Linked DNA regions of Oryctolagus cuniculus. The protein of the gene in region 2 binds, or shares a complex with, the protein of the main gene of each other region. Links are inferred from orthologs where the notes say so. Each region holds a gene or a part of one and is shown on either strand. Other genes may lie near its edges.

Region 1 (7,642 bases), on a different chromosome or scaffold from region 2:
GACTTTGACCAGATAAATTGATCAGACAGCTTGCAGGAAGCTGGCTAAAAACACAAGCTTTTGCATTCTTCAAAGGCCTCGCTTGTGTGGAAACCCACAGCCCTCCTGCCCCACTCCAGTGAGTCCCACAGAGCAGGGCACTCTAGCCTCAGCCTCACCCTCCTCGGTGACTCGGAGGGGAATCAGCCGCGTCGTCTTCACGAAGGGCCGGTGCGCCTCAAACTCAAACTCTCGGGACACGTTACAGGTGTAGAGGCCGGAGTCATTCAGAGTGACATTGAGCACGGTGATGGACACATCCTGCAGGTCCTTGCTCCCGTTCCACTGCAGGCGCCCCTGGAAGGGGCTCTCCACCTCCTGGTGGCCATTTCGGTACTCGTAGATCTGCAGGTACAGAGACAGAAGAGGATAGGGCCCAGAGAGGAGATAGAGTAGGACAGCAAGATGGGAATGGGGTAGAGAAGAATCGCAGGTGGTTAGGAAAGAGAGAGGACGCACCAGGAGACCTAGAATTTTTTGTTGGGGGAGGATGAGGAGATGCAAAGGGCAGGAGAGAACAAAGATGGAGAAAGATGGGCAGTGGGGCTGGCATTGTGGCATGGCAGGTTAGGCTACGCCTGTGGTGCTGGCATCCCATACAGGTGCCGGTTTGCATCCTGACTGCTCTACCTCTGATCCAGCTCCCTGCTAATGCACCTGGGAAAGCAGCAGAAGATGGCCCAAGTGCTTGGACCCTTGTACCCATGTGGGAGACCTGGATGGAGTTCCAGGCTCTTGGCTTCAGCCTGACCCCAGCCATTGTGGCTACTTGGAGAGTGAACCAGCAGGTGCAAGATTCTCACTCTCTTTCTTTCTCTGTCTTTCTCTCTCTGTCTCTCTCTCTCTCTCTCTCTCTCTGTTTCCCTGTCCTCCTACCTTTCAAATAAATAAAATAAATCTTGGGGGGAAAAAAGGAACGAGTTCAGCTTTAGGAAAGCAAGAAACAGGAGCTAGCAAAAGCCAGTTCCACCCAGGGCTGTCTCCATTAAAAATCTTTGTGCAAGAGAACCTGGCCCCAGAACAACAACGTGGTGTAATAAAAAGTGCCTTGTAACTGCTGTCAAATGCGAACTCTCTCTTACCTAACTTCCTGAGCCTCAGTTTCCCCACTTCTGTGTATATATCATTTCTCCGGGAAACAATACAGTGTTTCCTCGTATTCCAGGAAGTACTTTCTACTAACCCAGAAAATCAGAGCTCATGAGTCCTGGTAACAACCTATAAGGTAGCTATGTCACATACCCCATTTTTAAAACCAGGAAACAGGCAGAGAGAGGTTGGGTTGTGTGTTCCAGGGCACAGAGCTAAGAGTGGAATCCAGCCTCAAACCCAGGCACCCTGGCCCCAGAGTCAGTGGAAGAGTAGATAATGGTCACCTCCAAAGTGGGACTACAAACAGATGCTCACCAGCCATCTGTGCCACTGACATTGGCTGTGGCACAGGATCAGAGTTGGGAGGGCTCCCTGCTCTGCCAGAAGTGTGTGTCATGGGGAGGACTAGGGGTTCCTGGTGGGAGGGAGGGTGCTGGGGCCACATGGGAGGTGAGGCACAGCACGGACCCACTGGAGAACGAAGTAAACATTCTGCCCATGGATGCAGCTGGACAGCTGACCATCAGCCTTGGTCATCGCTTTCATCCTTATTTCTGTGTGACCTCAAGGAGCTAACCTGTGTTATTGCATATAACCGTGCTCTGTTTTATTTCAATTCTCCAGGGGATGGTGTGGGGAATTAAATGGAAATACTCGCCAAGTGCCTAGTTTTGTGCCTAGCCACAACCGGCTCTAAATACGGTTTATCTCCTCCTCATCCTTCTTCCTGCTGGTACCCAGGGGTGCTTGAGGCTGGCCAAGTGCCTTTCTCCCTGGTTCAAAGGAGCTGAGCTATACTAAGGCTGTCACTTATCCACTGAGGAGCTGTCAGCACTTGGAAGAAAAAAAAGCCCGAGTGTGCTAAATTGCCATCCCCTAGACTGTCAGGAGTCGGGCACACAACAGCAGAGACCAGCAAAAGAAAGGCCAAAGTCAGCCGGAGGACATACAAGGAAGTCTTTGCCGCCCTCGGGCCTGTAGAACCATTCCACTACCGTGGTGGCCTCCACCTCCTCCCTCTTCATGCAGGAGATGCAGCGCAGCTTCATGGGGGTGCCCTGGACAGCCTCCGTCTCCGAGGGCACTTCCACACACACGGGGAAGCAGACGCTGACTGCAGAGAGGGCGGGTGACAGGGAAGGAGGGGCAGGTGGCAGGGAGGGGCCGGTGAGAGGGGGGCATTGGGAAACGAGGAGAGAGGGAGGAGACAGAGAAGGAAGATCATGAGACAAACTTGAAAATAGCCACGGTCCACATGTCTGCACCTTCACCTGCACTTTCCAAGTGTGTGTGCTCAGAACTGGTGCGGAATGAGGTGGAGGGGACATGGATGGTCCAGACACAGACTGAAAGCCTGGCCCTGGAAGTGGTGGAGATGCAGCAGACGTGGACTTGAGCCCTGTCCTCAAAGGCTGGCAGGGAGAAAGGGCATGCGGGCATCATCTACGATCCATCCACGCCCTCATTCAACAGCCATTCACTGAAGTCCACTCTGTGTCAGGTCTGGTCCTCAACTAAAGATACAAAGATGAACAAAACACTAACCGTGCCCTCACGGCATTAATAACCTAGCAGGGAACACCTAGCCATAACTATGAGTAAGCCAGACCACAGAGCGTGGCATACTACTGGTGATGTGCTCTGTTCCCAGAGGGAGAGCGCTTAGTCACTCCTGGTTGCGCTGCGAGGAAGGCAGAGAGGCATGGGAAGGTGGACAGCACCCACGTTTTGAAGACCACCAGGTGTCCTTCAAAGCTGTGGAGCAGTGTACACATTTGTGTGTTTCATGGATGCTCTGAGTGATTCTGACGTGTGGTGGCAGATGGAGCAGCAGAGAGGAGCAGGGTACCCTGAGCACTAGGTGAAGCAGTGTGCGATGGGAGGAGCAGACTGACAAAGTTAAAAATCTAGAGGGAGGTCAGAACGTGGGCCACCTTGCATGCCACATGCAGATTTAGACTTACAGTCTGTTTTTTTTTTTAAAGTGAGTACATCATATTGCAAATTCAGAATGAATCCAAAGTGGGACACAGCTGCCAAGCAAGCAAGTGCCAGTGTGGGCTGCACTAACAGATGTAGTGTGCAGAAGGGAAGAGGAGCAGCCCGCCTGCACTGTTCAGAACAAATCTGGACTGTCAGGATCTGTTCAGGGTGCACATTTTACAAAAGGAACCTGTTGGATGCGTGCATGCCCAGAGAGCAGCAGGATGATGGGGGCCTGGGGACAAAGGGGAGGACTTGAAGGACTCAGCTCCAACACGGAACTTGTCTGACTTTTACTCTGATTCTGCCCACCTTCAACCGTGCTAAGAAAAAAAATAAGTTTGTTGCAATGAGAAGAGATTTCTGATGTTGCAGCGATTCATAAATGCAAAACTGTACTTGGTAAAAGAGTTTACCCCTCATTGCCTGGAAGATGCAGAGGTAAGACAACCACAAGCATTGTCATATAGGGACATTGAAGTTCCTTCAGATGCTCCCTTTGCATGAGTTAATAATAAAAGCAGAGTCCCTGAAGTATAACAAATGAAAACAATACTCACTGATATTTTAAAACTAGTCCACTGTTGGTGGTGAGACAGAGAATACAGAGAACCCTTTTCTAAAAACAGAAGAGGGACGATGTTTATGATGCAGTAGATTAAGCTGTTTGCAGTGCTGGCTTCTCAGAGTACCAGTGTGAATCCTGGCTACTCTGCTTCCAATCCAGATTCCTGCTAATCTGCCTGAGAAGGTAGCAGAAGATGGCTCAAGTACCTGGGTCCCTGTCACTCACGTGGGAGACCAGGATGGAGTTCCTGGCTCCTGGATTCAGCTGGACCAAACCTGACTGTGGCAGCCATTTGGGAAGAGAACCAGCAGAATTTAAGACCTCTTCCTCTCTTTATCTCTCCCCTTCTCTCTATCCCTCTGCATTTCCATCTTTTAAAAAAGAGATTTATTTATTTATTTGAAAGAGTTACACAAAGAGAGAAGGAGAGGTGTGTGTGTTGGGGGGGTCTTCCATCCGCTGGTTTACTCCCCAATTGGCTGCAACAGCCAGAGCTGTGCCGATCTGAAGCCAGGAGCTTCTTCCAGGCCAAAGGACCTGGGCCATCTTCTACTGCTTTCCCAGGCTATAGCAGAGAGCTGGATTGAAAGTGGAGCAGCCGGGACTCCAATTGGCACCCATATGAGATGCTGGCACTGGAGGCAGTGGCTTTACTCACTATACCACAGTGCCGGCCCCAAATAAATCTTTTTTTAAAAAAAGCACAGAAAAGCTTTTTTTAGAGCTTAAAATGAAACTGGTATAAACTAATTTTGAATCAAAAAATTAAATATTGTGTTTGACTAGAAGGAAACAAATTTCATTTTTAAACATAGAGTTAAAATCAGCAGCACTATAATTAACTTAAAGTTTAAAAAACTCAAAGCAAAGTAATATTAATTGTATTTGAAACTCTCAAGAAATTCAAGGCAGTGTTATCTGGCCATCTGGTCATCACTTGCATGGACAGAGGGTCCACACTGGGATAAGTGAGCAGAAGCATCTTCAGGGGCCAGCACTGTGGTGCAGTGGGTTAAAGCCCTGGCCTGAAGCACCAGCATCCCATAAGGGTGCCAGTTCTAGTCCCGGCTGCTCCTCTTCTGATCCAGCTCTCTGCTATGGCCTGGGAAAGCAGTAGAAGATGACCCAAGCATTTGGGCCCCTGCACCCACATGGGAGACCTGGAGGAAGCTCCTGGCTCCTGGCTTTGGATCGGTGCAGCTCCGGTTGTTGCGGCCATCTGGGGAGTGAACAAGCAGATAGAAGACCTCTCGCTCTCTCTCTCTTTCTCTCTCTGTAACTCTTTCAAATAAATAAAAATAAAATCTTTAAAAAAAAAGCATCTTCAGCATCTAATGAGTTTGAAGTCTTGAATATAGAATGATTTTTTTCTTTTAAAATAGAGGTATGGTTTTTGTACAAGTTTGTGAGTGGACAGAGGGGCAGAAGGCACGCAGCCAGAACACTGCAGCATGCAACCCTGGGTGCACTCACATTGAATGAGCGGTGGTAAAGATGACAGATTTCGTTGGTGACCTCAGGAGCCGAATAGGAAAAATCCCAAGGAACATCCAGTTATAGTGATAGAGGCTGCAGGAAGATGGGTTACTGCCACTGAATGACTGGGTTTGGTCTATGACTTCACACCTCTTAAGATTCAACTTTTCATGAACAAGAAGCTGAAAATAACCTCTATCTGTCAGGAGAATTCTACACATTAACTTATGTAAATGTGCTCTGTAGAAATGTCATTCATGAATGCTTTTTAATCCTTCATTTCTTTGACAAATATGTCCAGTACCAGGCGTTGTTCTCGGCACTGAGGACACAACAGGAACCAAACAGAACCATCCCTGCTCTCATGCAGGTTACATTCCACTGCGGGGGGGGGGGGGCATAAATAAACATTGGTTCAGTGCTATAAGAAAAAATACAATGGGGGAGACGAGAGAGAAAGCACATGAAGCCGCTGGGGATGGCCCCAGGGAGAGAGTAACACTGAGCGGCCACTGAAGGAAAGAAGGAAGGCAAGACATTGTAGGGGTATCTGTGCCATAGGAAATGGTAGCTCCAGAGCACACGGGTCCCAAGGTGTGTGTCTGTCATGCTTGAAAGCCAAGAAAGAACCCACGGTGCGAAGCATGGTGGACCAAGCAGGAATAAAAGGGAAGCAAGCAGGAGAGGATGTCAGGGGCCTAATCACGGCAGCTCTTGCAGCCCACGGTTAATTTGAATGCTGGTTCTTGCTTGGAGCAGTACCAGGAACACCGGAGGCCTCCAAATGCAAGGATGATATGATCTGATTGGTGTAAAATGACACGATGTGACCATTGTTGAGAATCAGCTGGGGAGGTGAAGGGGAACTAGAGTGGGTGCAGAGAGAATGAGCTGGTGCAGTGACAGGAGCCAAGATTTCACTTCATTGAAGATGTGGAACTGTGGGGGTTTGAAAGCGAATCATTTGGGGCCAGTGCTGTGGTGTAGCAGGTAAAGCCGCCGCCTGCAGTGCCGGCATCCCTTATGGGCGCCAGTTCTAGTCTGCTGCTCCATTTCCGATCCAGCTCTCTGCTATGGCCTGGAAAAGCAGTAGAAGATGGCCAAGTCCTTGGGCCCCTGCACTCGCGTGGGAGACCCAGAAGAAGCTCCTGGCTCCTGGCTTCAGATCGGCGCAGCTCTAGCCATTGCAGCCATCTGGGGAGTGAACCATTGGATGGAAGATCTCTCTCTCTCTCTCTCTCTCTCTCTCTCTCTCTCTCTGCCTCTCCTTTTCTGTGTAACTCTGACTTTCAAATAAATAATTGATAAATCTTTAAAGAAAGGGAATCATTTGTTGGATTACCCTCCTTGAGTAGGTGAGAGGTGACATGCTCTCATGAACAAGTAGATAGGGTAGCAGAGACAGGAGCACCTACAGTTAAAGGCGGGGAGGGGGATACATGGAGTCATGATGAACATGTGTCCCTGAGGGGACGGTAATCCAGATACCATCAGGGTGCAAGCTTCCCTGCTCCTGGCTGAAGTCCAGCTTCAAGGCACTCTTCTGGATAATACAATGCAAATGACCACAAAGTCCTCTGTTTGCTTGCCCTTTGCAATATGACTTACTACTCTTTCCATCAGGAGGTGAAGTCTGTTTGTCCACTCATGGAGTCTCCAACCCACCCCTGCCTATGCTCCTATGAGACCCTCTGTGTATCCAGGAGAAGGCTGTGCATAAGTTAGGAATCCACATTGCTGACTATTAATGATAAACTCCTGGAATAATGGCTGAATCATTTGACCTTTGGCCTCCTTTTCAATTTGCATAGTTCTTGCTCTGTCACTCCCCCTCTCTCTCTATAACTCTGCCTTTCAAATAAATATATAAATCTTTTTTTAAAAACTTATGAAAAGAAGAAGATGATGTATTTATGATGATACTATTTAACTAAGGAATAGTATCAACCTGTCATCTGGATAGTAATGCATATGAGGGTACTTCAACAAGTCTGTGGAAAATGGGATTAAAAGATAATTTGGGGCAGGGCTGACATTCTGGCATAACAAGTTAAGCCTCTGCCTGCAACACTGGCATTCCATATGGGCACCAGTTGAGTCTGGCTGCTCCACTTCCATGATTCAGCTCCTACCAATGCACCTGGGAAAGCAGCAGAAGATGGCCCAAGTGCTTGGGCTCCTGCACATATATGGGATATCCAGAAGAATCTCCAGGCTTCTGGCTTTGGTCTGTTCCAGCTCCGACCATTGCAGCCATTTGGGGCATGAACCAGCGGGTGGAAGATTTTTCCCTCTGTCTCTCTCTGTAAATATACCTTTCAAATAAATAAAAAATCAAATCTTTTTTAAAAAGATAATTTACTTGGATGCAAATAATTTTTGAAACCCAGGTGTAGTTTTTCAATAATACACATTTTTCATAAACTCTTTGAAGGCCCCTCATATACATTGATTTTAAAAAAATTTGCAGCAAAATAAGCTTAC
Region 2 (8,240 bases):
CTCTTCCAGTCCAGCTCTCTGCTGTGGCCCGGTAGTGCAGTGGAGAATGGCCCAAGTCCTTGGGCCCTGCACCTACATGGGAGACCAGGAGAAGCACCTGGCTCCTGGCATTGGATCAGTGCGGTGTGCAGGCTGCAGCACGCCGGCCACAGCGGCCATTGGGGAGTGAACCAACGGACAAGGAATACCTTTCTCTCTGTCTCTCTCTCTCACTGTCCACTCTGCCTGTCAAAAAAAAAAAAAAAAATTCTTATGTTCTTCACATTACTGTGAACTATGGCCAGATCCTAAAGTGAATCACCTCATTCTTCCTGGAAGCTCACATTGACTAGGTACACTTGGTGACAATTCCTTTAGCAAATTTACTGTGTAGCTAATACTTTACACCCTCTGTTCTAAGCACCACTGGGCAGTGTGGAATAAACAAGTGCTAGCTGTCAAGCAGTATGCATCTTAGTGGAACAAGAAAAAATAAACAAATAAGCAATAGATATTTAGTGCAACAGATCAGCAGTATAGAGAAAGACAAAGCAGTTGCTAACTATGACAAGATTCAAAGTGTGAGTGTGGAAATTAATAGTTAAGTAGCATGGAGAAAATGTAATTTATTAGGGCTTTGGACATTGGATGTTTCATACAATGTTCCTTGTATTCAAATAGATGAAGAGTTATTAAGAATGACAGCAAGAGTTCAGACGGAGGGGAAGACTGCCAACCAAAAAATAAATTTTTAATAAATAATAAAGTCATAGAGTCAGAAGATTATTATGATCAGAAAAGGAAAAGGATGGTAGAGCTGGAGGACATATTTTCACTCAAAGGCAGATTTGATTTTTTAAATTTTTTTTAGGTTTGGGAACACTTGTTTTCTTGTCTTTTTTTTTTTTTTAATAGATTGTTTTGTAAACCCTGATGTATTCATGTGGATTGAGAATGAAACCACCAGGTCCATGTACTTTCCTGCAGTAACACCTGTGTGGTTAGAATTAAACAACCGCATTTAAATAGGCTACAAGGAAAGTAATGAACCCAGGAAGCCAACTGGCTCAGGTTTAGTTAGAAATAGCGATTTCTCCTGAAAAGGCAGAGAATGGGGGTTTAGAGCTTCCATTTTTTTCTGAATACCCTTAAGAAGCACATGGAACACACGATTGTAAGTTTCTTAAGGTAAAAGAGTGGAAAACGGGCCTCTCTAACCACCACTTCTCTTGGCTGAGAAATTCAGTGGGCTGGATAGTGCAGGAGGAGGAAAGAGATTATGTTTCTCAGTTCACTACTAGGAGCAGAAACATTACCAAGATATTTCAGATCTAGCCCAGCAGTGTCACCCAACAGTAATAGCAAAATATTTGTTCCAGAACAACAGAAATGTTGCTGAACGTAGACTAGAGACTCATTACATTGGTTTCCCTTGTGTTTGCCTCTTGTTTTGTGCAATACCTTATGAGGGACTGCCAGTGTTACACATCATAGAAAGCAATGCTTCTCTTTACTTATTTCCAAATACCTTACTGAAGCTTTTTGTATGAGTATTGCTAAGTTTCTAAAGTTCATATTATATTTGAATTTACTGCCAGGAGCATAGAATTTTAGTAGTTCAGAAAGTATGCTTCGTTATGATTGCTTCAGGGGAATGTCCTAACACACTACAAAATATGCTTGCATCGTCATCACAGTGTGGAGAAGTGAAGCTGGAAAACTATACGTTGTGGAATACTTTTTTGTATACCTTAAATAAAATTTAAAAAGACCTTTGAAAAGTGAAGGTAAAAATAAAAAGCCTGAAGAGAGAAAAAGAACACGAGTGGGTGCTTGATTCTGCAAAATAATCATTCCTGATTTTTTTAAGTGTAAGGATGGTATTGGATTAAATGCTTTAAAACTTCTTGTTATTTATAGATATGCTGATTTTTGGATTAAATAACGTGCTGTCTGATAAAAGGGTTAGAGAATGAATGTTCTGTGGTGTGGCAACAATTTTTCCAAACTCCTTTTTGGAAAAGACCCAGCACCCCTCTTCCCTTCTCCTACAAAACTACACTGTAGTTCCCCAGGTTTTAAAAGTATGCACAATTTTTCCTCTATCTCTTGTGTTTCAAATCACCAGAGTAGGAAAGAAATCTGGAGGTAGGAGATTATAGTAGCTCTAGCTGTCTCTTCCTTAACAGCTACACACCTGCACACACAACAGCACACAGTCATCACAGCCCTGTCCAGATTGCGATGTTGCACGTTGACAATTGCCCCTGTAAGCTGCAGAGGGGTAGCGAGGCAAGGCGAGAGAGAAACAACTGCAGATACAGAGCCTAACTGTGCTGCCTTCCTCTCTTCCCCTCTCCTCACCATGCTTTTCATTACCCACCTCCCCAATTTAACCGCAGCCGGCTCTTCTATGGCTTTTCTCTTAATTACCGTAAACCCTCCTAGTGTTATCTCAGCTCCCTCCTCCTCACCAATCCCCGAATCTCTCGCCCCTCCTCGTCCAGGTAGGTAGAGCAGACGCCACAGCTGCCGCTGCTATTGCCTCCGCAGCGGATCCCATCAAGATCTCCCCGCCCACGCCCGATCCGGGCTGAAGTCTCGCACTGGCCTGGGGATGAGGGCGGGGGAGAGAGTGGCGTGGCTGGGAGAGGGGAGGGGGGACGTGGGAAGGAGACAAAAACAGCTTTCAAGCGGCGGGCGCGGCTCCACTTGGCATCTGGGCAGCGGGTCTGGGGTCAGTCTTGGGAAGCCACCCGGTGACTGGTTTTGCAGCTGGTAATTCAGTGGGGCTCAGCTGTGGCCTGAGTGTTAGCCCCTGTAGGGAGCAGACGCCTGCCTGCCGAGCAACACCTTCTAAGCAATCAGAACTCAGGAAACCAGAGGGATCTGTGAAGAGAGGGAAGCCCAGGAGGAGGCCAGAGCTCCAAGGAGCCCTGCTTCTCAGGGGTCCCTTAGGTGCTGGTGGCGACCTGTCATTTGGTAGCAAGTAAGTGCCTTTTTCTTGCTGTCACGCCCAGCCCCAGGAAAGTGATAGGCACCATCTGCGGCCTGCCTTTCCCACCCCCCAATCTGCCCCACCCCCTGCACACCCTTAGGGTCCCCACAGGAGGATGGAAGTTGAAGACTCTGGGTATGAGTTAAGAGAGCTATTCTGAGAGCAGCAGTGGTCTGTGGGGTTTGCTCTATGCTGAGTGTGCGGTCAGTTATCTCATCCCACCAGGTAAGCTGCTAAACCAAGATTCTCTCTGAGTATACTATTTCTAGAAACCTTATATGACTTGTATTATGTGACACAAAGATAGTGTAGAAGGAATGAAAGGTTAAGCAAAATGAAGTATGCTTTTTCCAATGGATTTCTTCTTTCATTCTAAGTACTTTAGTGATTTCAAGGTCAGTGCTTTTCACGTAAGAATTGCCAATGTAAAAGTAGAGGCATCGATATCATTGGAAATGCTCAGTTTAAACAGGTAGTCATAGGTATTGTTTGCAGCAATAGGGCAGTGAGGATTTGGTTTTTCTTTTTCCTGTTTTTTTAAACTGTGAAAATGCATACCTTCTGGAGGTTTTGTTTTAGAAGTGATGATGTGACTCTAGTTATGTTACCTCCAATACTTGAGACATTGATGAAAAGAGAACAAATGATGAATCCATGTGAATAATAGATTGAAGGCCCTTCATTAATGGAAATGATGGAATCAAGTGTGGATATTGGTCAGAAAAATATCTTGAAATGAAAGGCATTTGGCATTGCTTTTTGAGAGGTTCCTCCTGATTATCGTTCAAGAGAGTAGATTATGGCAAAGCTGAAGGAGAGGAGAGTCTGTAATAAACTGAGTCCTGGGTAGCAAACTTGCTATGACCAAAGGTTTCATAATCTAGCTACTAATTCTACAAATAAGAAACATAAGGTTTATATGAAGTCATTTGGTGAGGTTACCAGGCTAATCAACAAATGAGCTGGAAATACAATGAAAGAGACTTTGGAATTTAGAATTGTAATACTTGATTTCCATTTGTGTGCAGATGAAGTAAACTGCTTCAGTTGATGAAGCTTTGTTTTTCTTATCTGTACATGATATATTAAAAAATTCTAAGGATTAACTGACAGATATTACATGAAATGTTTTGTGAAAGAAATATCATGTATAACTGTTGGTTGCATTAAGGAATAACTCAGTTTCTATCTACCATTCTGGTTTGCATGTTAAATCAAATTCAATATGAGAATAAAGAAGGCTTTCCTATGCTTCTCTAGAATAACCAAGAGGAAGTCAAATTCAAGTTTATTTTTTGCCAGCTGTACAATTTAAAGTATATTTTAACCTCCATTCTTAAAAAGGATGCGCCATGGCTAGACACTCATATTCAAACATTCTTGTAAATTGTCCAAATATGCTTTGCCTCCTTTGTCTTTTTAAATGTTGTTTTAGGGGTGTGTGTGGGGTTCCACTTCTTGGGAATGAAATTATTAAGTATGTTGGATATTGCATAATTTATTTGTTCTGCAAATTAATAATAGGAGAAATCAAAATTTAGTCATAAATACTCTTAACTGCAGAGGTTTCTTAAAATATTGCACTCAGGAAAGAGGTAGAGTGAGTCCATTGTTTTCCATGGACATGTTTAAAGTGGTGGAAGAAAGACCTTAAGATGGACATAGGCTCTGGAAAAGGGCCCAGTAGATCCCAGATAACACAGTTGGGCCCCTGGACCTGCTGCTGAATCAGTCTCCATTGGAGAACTGAAGATAGAGCAAAGAATTAGGAACTGGGCATTGTCTCCATAGTCTAATGCAGTAGAAATTTTGGAAAGGTAGTTGACATATATTCTCATTGATTTTGCCCAAGTAGAATGAATACATGGCTATGCGTCCTAGAAACAAACAGTTAAAAAAACAACTGTATTTTCCTCAATCCCTCACTTAGGAAAGAACTGTCCTAATACAACCTAGTTCCAGATTTCTCTGGCATAACATTTGCATCATAACTGGGCAATCAGAGACGAACCTAGATCTCTCTACTACCATGTTGGACCCTCTCTTAAGAGTTGGTTATGGAAGCATTCGTCTAAAAGGGACACTCTTTGGTTTCTGGGAGCCTGATCCCATTTTGTCCCAATAGGCTATAGCAGTTTGAGCTATTTGTGACAGAGATGTCCGTAACCCTTGCCCACCTCCACCAGCTGTCAGTGGTGCTCAGTCACCTATGGTCACATGGGACTTAGTTTTCTCTGCCTTGATCCCCTTCTATTAGTGTGGGTTAACCAATGTCAGGTAAGTATATCTCATCTTAGTAACAGTCAAAGAGGGAGCCTCTGAAGTAAAAGGAAAAGTTTTTATCCAAAAGCTTTTAGGAGAATTTTTCAGCTCATGCATATCTCCTGACCCAGCTAAAATTGTGATTTCCATGCATTTGTTTAATTACTCTTTTAAAAAACCTGGCTCCATCTTGGTACACTCCATTATAATAGCCCTAGATAATGACATCCCTATTGTCTGTGTGGTCTCTCTAACTGGGTTGAGTTGGCCTGGTGTTGGCTTAGGATCACTAGCTGTGTGGACAGGATACCTCTGAATGTAGTGCAAATCACATACTTGTCTGGTTGCATCAGCATCAAAGAGCTTGACAGAAACACTGAAACTGAAGCCTCTCAGATAGAAATTTTGACAGAAATGTCTGAGATTGGGATGGATTTTAAACTACAATAGCAGATGATACTGATTTAGGGACCGCTGTCCCCTGATTAAATGTTGTGTTGAGTACTATATTACATCCTTTCTGCTTTAAACAGTAGAGCAAACCTCCCAGACCACCAACCTCTCATTCTCTGAGTTTTCCCAGAGGCTTCATGCTCTAAGCACCAGATTACTGGTTCTAATTTTGTCTCCAATCCCTATCTGCTCTCTTCCCTGGACCCCAGAGCCCTATTTTTGACACTCAGAGTCATGTTCACTCTATTATATTGCGATTTTCTCTCTAGTTGCACTCCCATTTAAGGTGTGGGTTTGTACATTTGGGTCCATATTTGAGAGTGGTTTCTGGGAGGGGGGGATTCCTGGAAAAGCATACAGACTCTGTAAGAGGTCTCCAGGATTCCAGTAAATATAAGAAAGCTGGTACTTTTGTATCCTATGGGTAACTTTTTTCCTCCTTGTGTGTGTTTTTGTTACTTTTGTGAAAATAAATGTTGGAAGAATCATAAGTAAAAAAAAAAAAAAAAAAAAAAAAAAAAAAAAATTTGAAAAGATGTGTTTTGTAGATCCAGTGGCATCTAAAACTATAGATCAAAAAAGCTCTTGTGATGCTGGTGAGTATCCAAGTTACATTCATGACAGAATCTCCTTTGCGTGACACAAATAGGGGCAACAGTGGATTCCTCTCTTTTGAGCTCTGGCTTCTCTTGGCTTCTGGCTGACAAGGGTCTGACTGACAAGGGTCATAAGAATAGTTAGCTTGAACGAACAGAGAGATTCTGACTTTTCCCCAACATGCTTGTTTTGTGTACTGGACATGCACAACGTGGAAGTTTCCATCATATCACAGAACAAGGAACCCTGTTAGTGAACCATGGAGTTTCATAGGGAAGCTGAAATTAATGTATTGAAAACAAAGAAGTTTTCTTTTTCGTTTCTGGGACCCTTCCCTGTCTCTGCTGTCTGGTCAGTCACAATGGCTCACCGTAGTGAGACTGCATCTTCTACCAAGTATTAATGTCCTGTGTATCCTCTCCAAGCCTCCACATTTTCACTGAACTTTCCTTGAAATCATTCTTGCGTGTGACTTTGAGATGGGTGCTGGTCTCCGACTTTGTCATGTGTCTGTCCACTCTTCTAGTAAGGAGTATAGATTGACTGTGCCTTTCTGAATGTGCATGATTGCACTCATCCTCCCTGAAAAGGAGTCACTGGCAAAGACCTCAGCTCCTGATTGTCATGAACCATTGCTAGAATCTAAATTTATTACACTTTGCAGGGAGTTTGTTTCTCCAAAGAGGACTTTTCACTTTGAGAAGAGAGGGGACATGTCTCCTTGGTTTTTGCTGGTGCTTATTTACATACTAGGTGATATCCTGGTTATTTAATTCAGGGTAGAAGCCTAAATTTAAATTCTTAAGAATCACAACCAAAACAAATAACATCACAAAAACAAAAATTATTCTTTTTTAAGATGAAGAAAAAAATGATTGTTTTTTGTTTTCACTTAGCATGATGGTCTCTAGGTTCATTCACTGATTGAAGCTTAGGTTGGTTCCATATCTAGCTGTTATAAATAATGCTGCAATGAACTTGCATATCTCTTTGGTGTACTGACTTCAATTTATTTGAATAAACACTTATTGTGACAATGTTGATGATTCTGGAGGACATTATGCTAAGTGATAAAAAGACAAATACAGCTGTTCAGTACCTCTGGAGGGTTAATTCCAGGACCCCCACTATATACCACAATCTGAGAATGTTCAAATCCTTTTATATGAAATGATGTGATATTTTTATTTAACCTTTTGCATATCTCCTTTATACTTTAAATCCTCTCTAGGTTATTTATAATACCTTACACAATATAAGTGCTACAGAGTTCGTATATTGTATCTTTAGGGGATATTGACAAGAAAATAAATATATGATCAGTACAAATGCATTTTTTTCTGCATAATTCTGAACCACATTTGATGAAATCCATGAATGCAGAACCCACAGACACAGAGGACTGGATCAGCTGGGCTGTATGATCTCATTCATGTGGAAACTTCCAAAGCTAAACGCAGAAGTAGAGAGGAGAATGGAAGTTACTGGAAGCTCAGAGAAGAGGCGTAGATGAGGGAAAGGGAAATGTTGGTCAAAGTATACCATGTTTCGGGTAGTGATATATGGCACAGTATGGTGGCAATAGCTAACTAATGATGTATTTTGTATTTCAAAACTATTAAAATAGCAGATTTGGAATGTTTTCACAAGTAAATGATAAGTATGTGTGCTATGGTTGTAATGATCAGTTTGATTTAATCATCCCACAATATGTATGTGCATGCATCATCACATTGTACCCCATGAATATATACAATTGTTTTTATCATATATAAAATTTTATAAAATAGGCAACACATACTTATTTTTTTGATAAAGCTGCTTATTTACAATTTCTTCCACAAGATAACATAGTCTAGGGATGTGTTGGCTGAAATTGTCAGAGTGAGAGAATTGAAACCAGAATTGTTGATATATTGAGGAATCAGACAGGAAGCCAAAATGAGATGAC

What was found. The genes of interacting proteins can lie anywhere in the genome.
Region 1: the proteins of SCN7A (region 2) and SCN3B are in contact, whole or in part, in a cryo-EM structure (PDB 7TJ9), measured with the Homo sapiens proteins. The link is inferred for Oryctolagus cuniculus from reciprocal best matches to the Homo sapiens genes SCN7A and SCN3B. Residues at the interface, in NP_002967.2 of Homo sapiens: Arg269, Glu293, Tyr296, Leu298, Glu299, Leu305, Gln315, Cys316, Pro317, Glu318, Gly319, Tyr320, Asn922, Ile923, Thr926, Cys927, Lys929, Ile930, Phe939, Ile956, Tyr957, Asp959, Gln960, Ile966, Tyr970, Met973, Ile974, Tyr977, Ile978, Leu981; in NP_001035241.1 of Homo sapiens: Val25, Cys26, Val27, Glu28, Val29, Arg44, Ile46, Lys50, Arg51, Glu52, Glu53, Val54, Asn95, Gly96, Ser97, Asp99, Gln101, Asp102, Phe126, Phe128, Ala130, His131, Pro133, Val135, Thr154, Ser155, Ser158, Glu159, Met162, Leu165.

What each region holds. Positions count from the first base shown.
Region 1 is NC_091432.1:116,011,368-116,019,009, forward strand, and holds part of SCN3B (sodium channel regulatory subunit beta-3), read right to left. Parts: intron 2,246-7,642; coding exon 2,082-2,245; intron 385-2,081; coding exon 159-384; intron 1-158. UniProt on the Homo sapiens protein: Regulatory subunit of multiple voltage-gated sodium (Nav) channels directly mediating the depolarization of excitable membranes.
Region 2 is NC_091434.1:74,877,583-74,885,822, forward strand, and holds the start of SCN7A (sodium channel protein type 7 subunit alpha), read left to right. Parts: upstream 1-2,683; 5' UTR 2,684-2,968; intron 2,969-3,077; 5' UTR 3,078-3,202; intron 3,203-8,240. UniProt on the Homo sapiens protein: Sodium leak channel functioning as an osmosensor regulating sodium ion levels in various tissues and organs. While most sodium channels are voltage-gated, SCN7A is not and lets sodium flow through membrane along its concentration gradient.